Caenorhabditis elegans: one gene and its partner. The protein of the gene in region 1 purifies or fractionates together with the protein of each later gene. This does not show direct contact. Each region holds a gene or a part of one and is shown on either strand. Other genes may lie near its edges.

What was found. Proteins that work in one complex are often made in the same cells at the same time.
Region 2: the proteins of ugt-61 (region 1) and cbs-2 fractionate together in Caenorhabditis elegans (co-fractionation; one large-scale study listed by BioGRID). This does not show direct contact.

Annotation. Positions count from the first base shown.
Region 1 is NC_003283.11:4,740,887-4,745,919, forward strand, and holds ugt-61 (UDP-glucuronosyltransferase), read left to right. Parts: upstream 1-1,568; 5' UTR 1,569-1,633; coding exon 1,634-1,723; intron 1,724-1,831; coding exon 1,832-1,952; intron 1,953-2,253; coding exon 2,254-2,701; intron 2,702-2,747; coding exon 2,748-2,841; intron 2,842-3,277; coding exon 3,278-3,388; intron 3,389-3,437; coding exon 3,438-3,716; intron 3,717-3,902; coding exon 3,903-4,069; intron 4,070-4,133; coding exon 4,134-4,416; 3' UTR 4,417-4,487; downstream 4,488-5,033. Other genes in the region: gtnt-28 (Glycosyltransferase family 92 protein), read left to right, coding at 1-251; gtnt-11 (Glycosyltransferase family 92 protein), read left to right, coding at 4,683-4,837, 4,975-5,033.
Region 2 is NC_003280.10:2,219,847-2,225,185, reverse strand, and holds cbs-2 (Putative cystathionine beta-synthase cbs-2), read left to right. Parts: upstream 1-1,618; 5' UTR 1,619-1,645; coding exon 1,646-1,763; intron 1,764-1,809; coding exon 1,810-1,877; intron 1,878-2,472; coding exon 2,473-3,275; intron 3,276-3,319; coding exon 3,320-3,426; intron 3,427-3,619; coding exon 3,620-4,071; intron 4,072-4,115; coding exon 4,116-4,507; intron 4,508-4,553; exon of another isoform or gene 4,554-4,673; coding exon 4,674-4,722; 3' UTR 4,723-4,790; downstream 4,791-5,339. Other genes in the region: F54A3.5 (MICOS complex subunit Mic10), read left to right, coding at 528-701; Y59C2A.3 (Trichohyalin), read left to right, coding at 5,276-5,339.

The DNA of each region.
Region 1 (5,033 bases):
TCCAGAAGCCTTACAGTCTATTCACTTCTTACCCAAACCTGCACATCAAACGAATCCAAAAGACACTTCGAAAAGTGTTCGGCTCATCGATACCACCTTACAACTCAACATACCTACACGTTTTGAATCAGTGTATCACGAAAATAGTTGGAGAGGGAAAGTGTAGGAGTACGGTAGAGTACTGTAAGCAGTGGATGGAACCATTGACGGATTGGGTGTACGATACGACTGAAGGCATTTTTGTAGTTTAACCTAAATTTTAGTTTGATAATAAATAGTTGTTATAAATACTAATCTATTTTGGCGGCCGACATCTCACAAGCTTGTGCCAGCGAGATGTCGGTGGCTTTTCTTTTAACTACTGTGTTTACAGGCAGGTCTAAAAGCACACGTTGTTATTCCGAGTGGGTCTTGCCACGATCTCAGTCCTACTGATCAAGTGCCAAATTTTACTCATATGTTCATTTGATGAAAAAAAAAGAAATTTATGAAGCTTCAAATTCTAAAGAGCCTATATTTTAGTTTCTTAAAATAATTTTGTAGTGGAAAATAAAAAGGTGCATAAACGCGCCAATTTGCCACAATTTCTCAACCAACTTTAGACAACTTTCAGCAGTTTTCAGTGTGAATTTTGTACAGCCCCTCAATCAAGGGCTATCCTCAACTTTTGCTAAACTTTGGCATCTCTGGATTGGCCCAGAAGCTCTAATATACTTACCACGTGATGCCAGAGTGTCTCATTTTGGCTTGATCTACGTAGATCTACAAAAAAATGCGGGAGAAGAGACGCAGAGTTTTTAATTGATTTTGCATGGTTAAGAACTGCTAACGTCACATATTTTTTGAGTAAAACATTCCCGCATTTTTTGTAGATCAAACGGTGATGGGACAACCTGGTACCACGTGACTGAATGAAGCGTTTAGCAGTTGGTCAGATCCCAAAATTTGATCACAATAAAATTGTCCTTTTAAGAACAAAAATCTGTACCGAATAAGTACAGTTTGTCACACACCACAACTTTGTCTCGCTTACTACGTCTCTTCGTTCCCAAGAACTTCTGGTCAATTTAATTTCATGATAGAAGTTTAATGATGTTGGTTGAGTTTCACCTGAATTACAAAATAAATAAATAAAAATCTAATATACTAGTTGGACTACAAAGGAAAATTTACCAAAATTACCAAGCTTTACTTTTTTAGATCCAAAATGGCCCAAATCTACCGAATTTTGTAAAAAAACGTTCTGAAAATTTTTCAGGAAAAAATCGTATTTTCAGTATAAAAACCCAAGTCTCAGATTTTGGCACTCTCTTTAAACCTAACCTTAAACCTAACTAAACCTAACTTTCCAATATGATAATCTAAAATCCTTGAAAGAACTTTGGTACAACTTGCATCATTAAAGTTATCTGGCCAACGATCGAAAGTCCAGTCATATTTACTTCTACACATAAACCACAAATCACTATAGACCACAGTTTTCTATTTCTCTTGCTGCGTCTCTATTGTCTAACATTAAAAAAGGCTGTCTCTTCTCTCCAGACGCAGATTGCCCAACATTTTTGTGTTTACCCAGGTACTGCAGGTGTATAAAAGAACATCTATTTGATCTCAGTTTCCGTTATTTCCAACAATGAGAGTATTGTCGGTTTTTCTGGTATTAGTGGGAGTAGTTTCAGCATACAAATTTGTTTTATTTGTCCCAAATGTAGCTAACAGTCAGGTTAGTTTCACTTGATTTTTTAGTTATTGTTTTAATTCGGAAATGTAAATTTTCAAAGTACCAAAATTCAGTAGAAACCGATTTTATCAAGCGAAAAAATGTATTTAGATTCAATTCAACGCTAGAGTAGCCGAGGTTCTTGCAATTGGAGGTCATGACGTAACTATGCTAATGGTGAACCATATGGCTGGATTTGAGTCAAACGTAAAAGTACCGAAAGGTGTTAAAAGTGAGTTGATATTTGGCATACGACAAGTCGGAGAATAATTAATAACCTTTTATATGGTGCTAAAATAATCAACTAATATAATAAAACTTGTCAAAAATTGTTGGAAAGTGTTTATGTTGTTTCAAAAAGCAGTGAAAATGCATATTTGACTTATTTTATTGTATTGGTACGAGCATGCAACAATGCTTTAAATTCCTCAAAAAGACCACATTTGTGGCAATAAAAAGGAATAAGTTGCTAGTAATACATGTTAAAGTACTGAAACTTTGTGTTAGTGCTTTGTATCAAAACTTTCTTCCAGCCTATCAACTCGACGCTGCTGTTGAAGGAATCACAAAGCAATCCATCGAAAAAGAACAATCAGCCATGTTATACAAGAACATGGGGCTTAAGGATATGCCTCAAATGATGGCAATGTTCAGTCGAATGGGAAAGCTACTTCAAGATGGATGCCGAATCATTCTTCGCAACAAGGAATTCTTGAAATGGCTGGAAGATGAGAAATTTGATGTCGCATACACTCATATTTACTCTACGTGCCCACTTGGATTAATTCATCACGCCAAAATTCCGTCTTGGGTCTGGCTTAACAGTGGTCCACTAATGGATTATGTATCACAGGCAGTTGGAGTTCCGATTCTTCCCAGCTATGTACCGCCCGTATTGATGGCATCTCATGATGAAATGGGTTTTGTTCAAAGAACAAAAAGTTTTATCGGTCATGTGCTAATGAGTGTTATGCACAGAAGGTATGAATTGAGCCAGGATTTTGAAAAAAAAATCTAAAAATTTCAGAATCTCATCCGACGAGGAGACAGCAATCTTCCGAAAGGAATTGAATGATCCGAGTTTTCCTCATACCATGGATATTGGAGCCAAATGCCCACTGGTAAGTGATATGGTCAGCTTCTCGAACAAACATAAAAAGTGGCAAACCATAAGCATTTTTTGCTATAATTGCACCTATTTTGTATTGAAGTTAAATAAGAAATTTGGTAGTTGCGTTAGAACAAAAGTTCAGATTTTTGAAAAACTTGGCAATATGCCAAAAGTTTAGCTGAAAACTTCAAAAAATCGAAATTTTTTAGGAGTGTTAACGTAAATATATTTAGGCTAAAACATCACGGACGACAGTTTAACTTCAAAGACTTTCATCTTTGTAAATATCAACCAAGTTGCCGGTTGCCGAAAAATTGCCGAAGTTTCGGCAACCAAATGTTGCCGGTTGCCGATTTTTTTTTGGGTCCGGCAACTTCGGCAATTGCCGGTTGCCGAAAATCTTGGTTGCCGCACAGTCCTGATACCTAAATAACTACTTTTTCCAGGTAATTGTAAACAGCAATGAACTCTACGATCTACCACGTCCCACTTTGGCCAAAGTGATAAATATTGGAGGGCTTGGTGTCGGATTTGACAGTGCTAAACCATTGACTGGAGTAAGTCCACTTTTAAAATCAACATGTCTCAGCATGTTCAATTTTCCAGGAGTTCAAGAAAATCTCTGAAACTGGAAATGGGCTTATTGTCTTCTCATTTGGCTCAGTGGCAGCTGCCCATGAAATGCCCTTGGCTTGGAAAAACTCGCTTTTGGAAGCTTTTGCATCTCTACCAGACTACCAGTTTGTCATGAGATATGAAGGAGATGATCTGAAGGATAGATTGCCGGAAAATGTGCATTTGTCGAAGTGGCTTCCACAGAAGGATCTACTGTTGCACGAGAAGACAAAAGCGTTTATTACTCATGGAGGGTACAATTCTTTGCAGGTATGTGCATTTTGTTAACCCTGTGATCTGTAACTGTAATATTAAAGTTTCTGCTAATTGACTGTTTTTTTGTTTAACGTTTTTTCTAATTTCATTCAGTTGTGAAATTTCACTTAAATTTTTATCAAGAAATTGCAAGACATGCCTGTAAACTATCAGCAAAAATTTTAAAATTCATTCTTCCAGGAAGCAATATCCGCCGGAGTCCCCCTTATCACTATTGCTCTCATGGGCGATCAGCCCAAAAACTCCCAAATCGCCAAGAAACATGGATTTGCTGTGAACATTGAAAAAGGAACAATTTCCAAGGAAACGGTCGTTGAAGCTCTTAGAGAAATTTTGGAGAATGATAGGTTGGTTTTCCGAAATTTATTTTCAATTTTATTTTCAACAACAATGTCAATATCTAACTTTCAGCTACAAACAAAAAGTAACCCGGCTCTCCGCGATGGTTCGAGCTCAACCAATGAAGCCGGCTGAACGTCTTCTGAAATGGTCAGAGTTTCTTGCGGAATTCAAGACACTTGACAACCTGGTGCCAGCTGGACAGAAGCTTAACTTTTATCAATATCATTCTCTTGATGTAATCGGCTTCTTGTTCCTAGTAGTTTTAGTTGTATTCTACATTGGCTTCCTTATTCTGAAAGCAGTTTTCAGAAAATGTTGCCGTAGAAGAGAGACTAAAACTAAGAACGATTGATTGAAGGTCTGATTTTGAAGAAAAAAAAGCCATTTCGATATTCGGGTTTATTGAATAAATATATCAACTTCAACTTATTGATATCAATAATTTAAAAAAAAATTATTAAAAAACATTTCAAAATTCATACACATTTAAAAATCAACTTTCTATTTAAAACTAACGTTTTCAACTCATACAATATTCAAAACCCTTATTATTATTTCCTTTGTTCTGGGTTTTAGCTCCTTTTTTCAACACTCTTCTCTGAGCTCCTCAAATTTCAAATGATTTCCATTTTGCGAAAACTATTTAAATTTCTTATATTGATTACGTCTTTGTTTTTATTTACAAGATTAATTTGCAATTTTTATCAAGTTGAAAACAAAAATGTGAATACTTTTCCAATAGTGTTTTACAAAGATGCATACGTGGATCTCAGGTGAAATTTTGAAACTGATTAAAAAATTTATAGTGATCGGTTTTTTTTTTAAATTTAAAGAACTTTTTTTTTTGAAAATCTTAAAACATTATGATCTTCATGGACATACTATAAACTTGAATTCAATTTTTTCTCAGAATGTCTCCTCCAAAACTTCGAGTATTTTCCCTAAATCACTGCCTTATCAATGGAAGCT
Region 2 (5,339 bases), on another chromosome or scaffold:
ATTTATCGATTTTTTGCTAGTTTTCAATGAAAAATCGATAATTTATTGATTTTTCACTCTTTTTCCGATAAAAATAGTTTTATTATTGATTTTTCAGTGGCAATTTTCAAAAAATCGCAATTAAAATGTCCTTTTTGTGATACTTTTTGAAAAAATCGATACTTTATTGATTTTTCAACAAAAAAATTGATAAATCATTGATTTTTCGCTATTTTAAACGAAAAATCAATAAATTATCGATTTTTCATTGAAAAATAGCAAAAAATCAATGATTTATCGATTTTTCAATGGAAAATTGTTGAAAAATCGATAAAAATATCGAATTTCAGTCGATTTTTCACAATTTTCCGGTGATTTTTCGCGATTTCCACATTTTTCCGTCAAATTTCCTTTTTTTTTCTAAAAAAAAACGTAGAAAATCTATAAAAATTGATTTTTCAAAAAAAAAAAATTTCTTCGAAAAATGTTAATTTTCAGCCGAATTTTCTCGATTTTCCCCCGAAAAAAAAAAGCTCATTTTTTTGCAGAGCCGCTCGTGGCCAATTTGGTTTGGATCAGGCGTCGGTTTGGGCACCGGATGGTCGAATTGCCGTCACGATTTCGCTTCGCCGTACGTTTTGCACGGAAAACGTGTTCCAGCTGGACAGGATTCGCAAGGAAAACCGGCATACAATATTATCACCGAACAACACAAGCAATAGAGAAAAGAAGAGATAAATTTTCGATTTTTTTGAGATTTTTTTGAATTTCCGCCCGCCACCCCGCTTTTTTTTGTTCTCTCTTGTGTCGAAAAATAGGAAAATGTGTGAATAAACTTATGAAAAAATATCGATTTTTTCGGATTTTCACATGGAAAACGGAACATTTTCAGATTTTCAGATTCAAATTCGAAATCCCCGCAAAATTTTGAGCTGAAAATTTAGGATTTGACTAAGAAAATAGCGAGGAATTCGAATTTCGCATTAAAAATGCACAGAAATTATTCGGAGCTCTCAAAAAATGAGCAAATTTTCAGAAAACGGAACAAAAATTTTGAATTTTGACGGGTTAACCGAAAATTTGAAAATTGCAGTTTTCTATAAGAAAAAAAATCGGGAAATGGATGGAAAAGACAGATTTTTCATTTTTACATCAAAAATTTAAGAAAATTCTGTTTAAAACTGCTAAAAACCGATTTCTTTGCAAAACCCTGTTAAAATATGATTATTTCCAATTTTCGAGCTCAAATTCGAGTTCCCCACAAAATTTCAGGCCAAAACCCGAAAACTAGAGGTTTCTAGTTCAATTTTGAATTTTCCCGGATTACGGTAGCGCCAAAAGTACGCAAACACCGACTACCAGTACTTCTACAGTACCCCTATATTTCTAAACCCCTGCAAATCTTTAAAATACGCCTGAAATCCATGAAAATTATAAAAATTCGGCTGAAAATTGTGAAAATATCCATATCACGTGTAATTTAAATAAAAGAAATCAATGAAAATTTAATTTAATTTTAAATTGATGACGTGTAAATGATCTTTCAAAAAAGAAGAAAATTTCCGTATGACCTCCCGTGTTATTGTTTTCCACATCCTTATCTCGTGAATTTGATCAGTTTGGAAATCAATCAATAATCAGTTTCAACTTTTTGCCCGACTGGAGGATGTGCCTGCCTACCATTAAAGCATTCAAGACAATTCTGGACGCCGGGAGCCACCGAGCAACTCAACTGGTGCCGTTGAAGAAGCTGAAGGCCGAGTTTCAGCTGAAAAGTGATATTTGTGAGTTTCTATGTTTCAGAAAAATCTGAAAATTTCCAATTTTCAGATGTCAAACTCGAATATCTCAACATCTCCGGGTCGCTGGAAGATCGTGCGGCTCACCGAGCATTTGAGGTGAGAAAACGGAGAACAATTGGGAAATGTCAATTCAAAATTCGAATTCCTTGCAAAATTTCAGTCTGGGACTGCAGAAACTAGCTGAAAATCGCTTCATTTTGAAGAATTTCCAGCTTCGACCGCGACGCGGCCGCAACGCGCGGAAAAATTGCCGAATTTCTGGTTTTTAACCGAATCTGGTCGATATGGGGTTTAAAATTTAGCAAATTTTGCGGGAAATTCGAATTTTTTAGTTAAAATTTTCCACATTTCCGGGAATAGTCACAAAATTATAGGTGTCAGTTAAAATTTTTGGTCACAATGGACTAAAAATAATTTTTACCAATTTTCGCTGCTAAATTCGAATTTATCTTAAAATTTCAGTCGGAAAATCGAAAACTAGAGGTTTCTAGCTCAATTTTGAAATTTCTCGGGGTACGGTAGCGCCAAAAGTACGCAAACACCGAATTTCACGCGATTTTCGAGTTTTGAGCTGAAAATTGAGTTTTAGACTCAGAAAATGGCGAGGAATTCGAATTTGATAATAAAAAATCCCAGAAAGTAATCTAAAATCTCAAAAACAAATTTTTTTAATTGATTTTTTCTTTTTCAGATGTCCAACGGAATCCAACGAGGCGACGAGGTCTACGTGACCGCCGGCGGATCATCTGCAGTCTCCTATGCCACCGTGGCAGCCGTCAAGGGGGTCAGACTAACCGCCCACGCACCTCCCGGAGCATTCGACCAGGTCAGGACGATTCTGAGCACTTTGGGAACCAAGATCGTGGAGCTCCCGGTTTCAAACTTCCGAGAAGCTCGGCTCCAGGCTGATCTACTGGCCAAGCGTCGAGGTGTCTACAATCTTGATGGGATCTGCGAGAAAGCCGCGTTTCTGGCGAATCTTGAAGGAACTGCACCGGAGATTGAGAAGGCTGGGAAGACCAGTGCAGTTGTGGTACCCCTGGATGCTGGTGGAGCTTCAGCGGCAGCAGGGATCGCTGCTTACTTCTTAAAGGATCAGAAGACAACAGTGGTCGGAGTGAGATCTTCAGCTTCAGCTTCAGCTTCAGCTCCAGCTCCAGAAACAGAAGTTCTTCTGCAGAAGTACAAGGTGGAAATCCGAGATGCTCCTGAATCCTACACCTTCACCAGACACCTCATCGAGACGGAAGGGATCATGGCTGGACCATCTTCCGGAGCGGCAGTGCTGGAAGCCATCAAACTCGCCAAGGATCTTCCAGCCGGGTCAGTGGTCGTGGTGGTTCTGATGGATGGAATCAGGGACTATCTAGATGCTGATTGGATGAAGGTGAACGGCAAGAAGCCTATCAAGCCTCGTGAGATCTTCGACCCGAAGGTGCTGGACTACGATCCGACGAAGATGGTCGGGGAGTGGAAGAGTTCCAGCAAGTTCAGGTAGGTTATAGGATCTGAGATTTAGCAGAAAATTTGATTTTCAGGCCGGAAAGACCACTGGTTCTCGACTCAGTCCTCGATGCGATCGGCAAGACGCCACTGGTGAAGCTTCAGCACGTTCCGAAGGCTCATGGAGTCAGGTGCAATGTTTGTGAGTTGGGAATTCCTCTGTCCGGTCTAGTCTAGTCTAGTCTAGTCTAGGCTAGTCTAGTCTAGTCTAGTCTAGCCTAGCCTAGTCTAGTCTAGTCTAGTCTAGTCTAGTCTAGTCTAGTCTAGTCTAGTCTAGTCTAGTCTAGTCTGGCCTGGCCTGGTCTGCCAAAAATCCTCATCTTGGACAATTTCAGATGTCAAATGCGAGTTCCTCAACGCGGGCGGCTCCACCAAAGATCGAATCGCTAAGAAAATGGTCGAAATTGCTGAGAAAACCGGCAAACCCGGAGCACTCACCCCCGGAGCCACCACCCTCATCGAGCCCACCTCTGGCAACACCGGGATCGGCCTATCCCTGGTCGCGGCGGTCCGTGGCTACAAATGCCTGATCACGATGCCTGAGAAGATGTCCAAGGAGAAGTCGACGACGCTGTCGGTGCTAGGATCCACGATTGTCCGGACTCCCAACGAGGCGGCCTTCAACAGCCCGAGCTCTCACATCGGAGTGGCTCTTCGCTTGAAGCATGAGATTCCGGGTGCGGTGATTCTCGATCAGTACTGTAATCCGGGGAATCCACTGGCACACTATGAGGAGACTGCGGAGGAGATTTTGTGGGATATGGGGGATCGGAAGATTGATCTAGTGGTGAGTAGGAACTTCGGATCAAGCTTCAACTGTTACTCTTACAGGTCCTTGGCGCAGGAACCGGTGGTACCATCACCGGAATCTCTCGGAAGATCCACGAGCGCCGTCCCAACGCGATCGTCGTCGGCGTTGACCCGAATGGATCAATCCTGACCGGCCCGACGACTGGACCCGCTCCAGATTTCTACGAGGTTGAAGGGATCGGCTACGACTTCATCCCGGGGACCCTGGACGAAAAATCAGTAGATTCCTGGCTAAAATCTGATGATAAGGAGTCATTCCTGATGGCTCGAGAGATCATCAGAACCGAGGGGATCTTGTGTGGAGGATCGTCGGGATGCGCGGTGCATTACGCGTTGGAGCAGTGCCGGAAGCTGGATCTGCCGGAGGATGCGAATGTCGTTGTGCTGCTTCCAGACGGGATTCGGAATTATCTGTGAGTTGTCTGGGCCTGGGGCCTACAAAATTAGGCCCAGCTTGCTTTGAGGTCTATTTGCTGTTTGATCTCTGAAAATTGCGGGAAACCTATAGTTTTTGTCGTTTTTAGAGGTCAAAATACTACTCTGTAGCCCCGAAAGCCAAGCTTAAACATAATTTTTCAGCACCAAATTCCTCGACGACGACTGGATGAAAGCCCGCGGCTTCTTGTAAATTGTGACCTAAAAAAATACTTGAAATTGGAATTATGAACTGAATTTTTGACATGAATGAAGATTTTTCTCTTTTTAACCGAGTGCAATCGCGCTCCATTGATATTTTTCCAGATAATTGGGCTTTTTTCCCGAGTTTTTTGAGATATAACCGATTTTTCATTAAAATCGATGAATTTTAGTGGTTTTTGCATTAAAAATGACCGAAAATGCATTTTTCCAGCAATTCGCCCTGTAAAATTAGTGAAAATATGGATTTTTCGTCATATTCCCTGCAAAATAGACAACAGAAGCCATAATTCAAATAACAGAAGCCATATTCGCCGTCCAGCTCAATCGCGCTCCACCGCACCACACTCAAATCCCCCTGCCACCCCGGCACGCGAAGGGGGCCCGGACAATGAGACACCCTGCACACTTACTCTCGCCGCCTCTCGCTCTCTCCGCTCTCGCATTTTCTATTGATTTTCCTCTTGTTTCCTCGAATTTTTTAGTATTCTAGAGCAGAATTTGGTGTTTTAAATCAATTTTTTTATATTTTAGAGCTCGAAATTATGACTTCTCTCGTGTTTAATGACAAAATGATGGCGGAAGAGGGTATGATGGTTCCACAAGCGG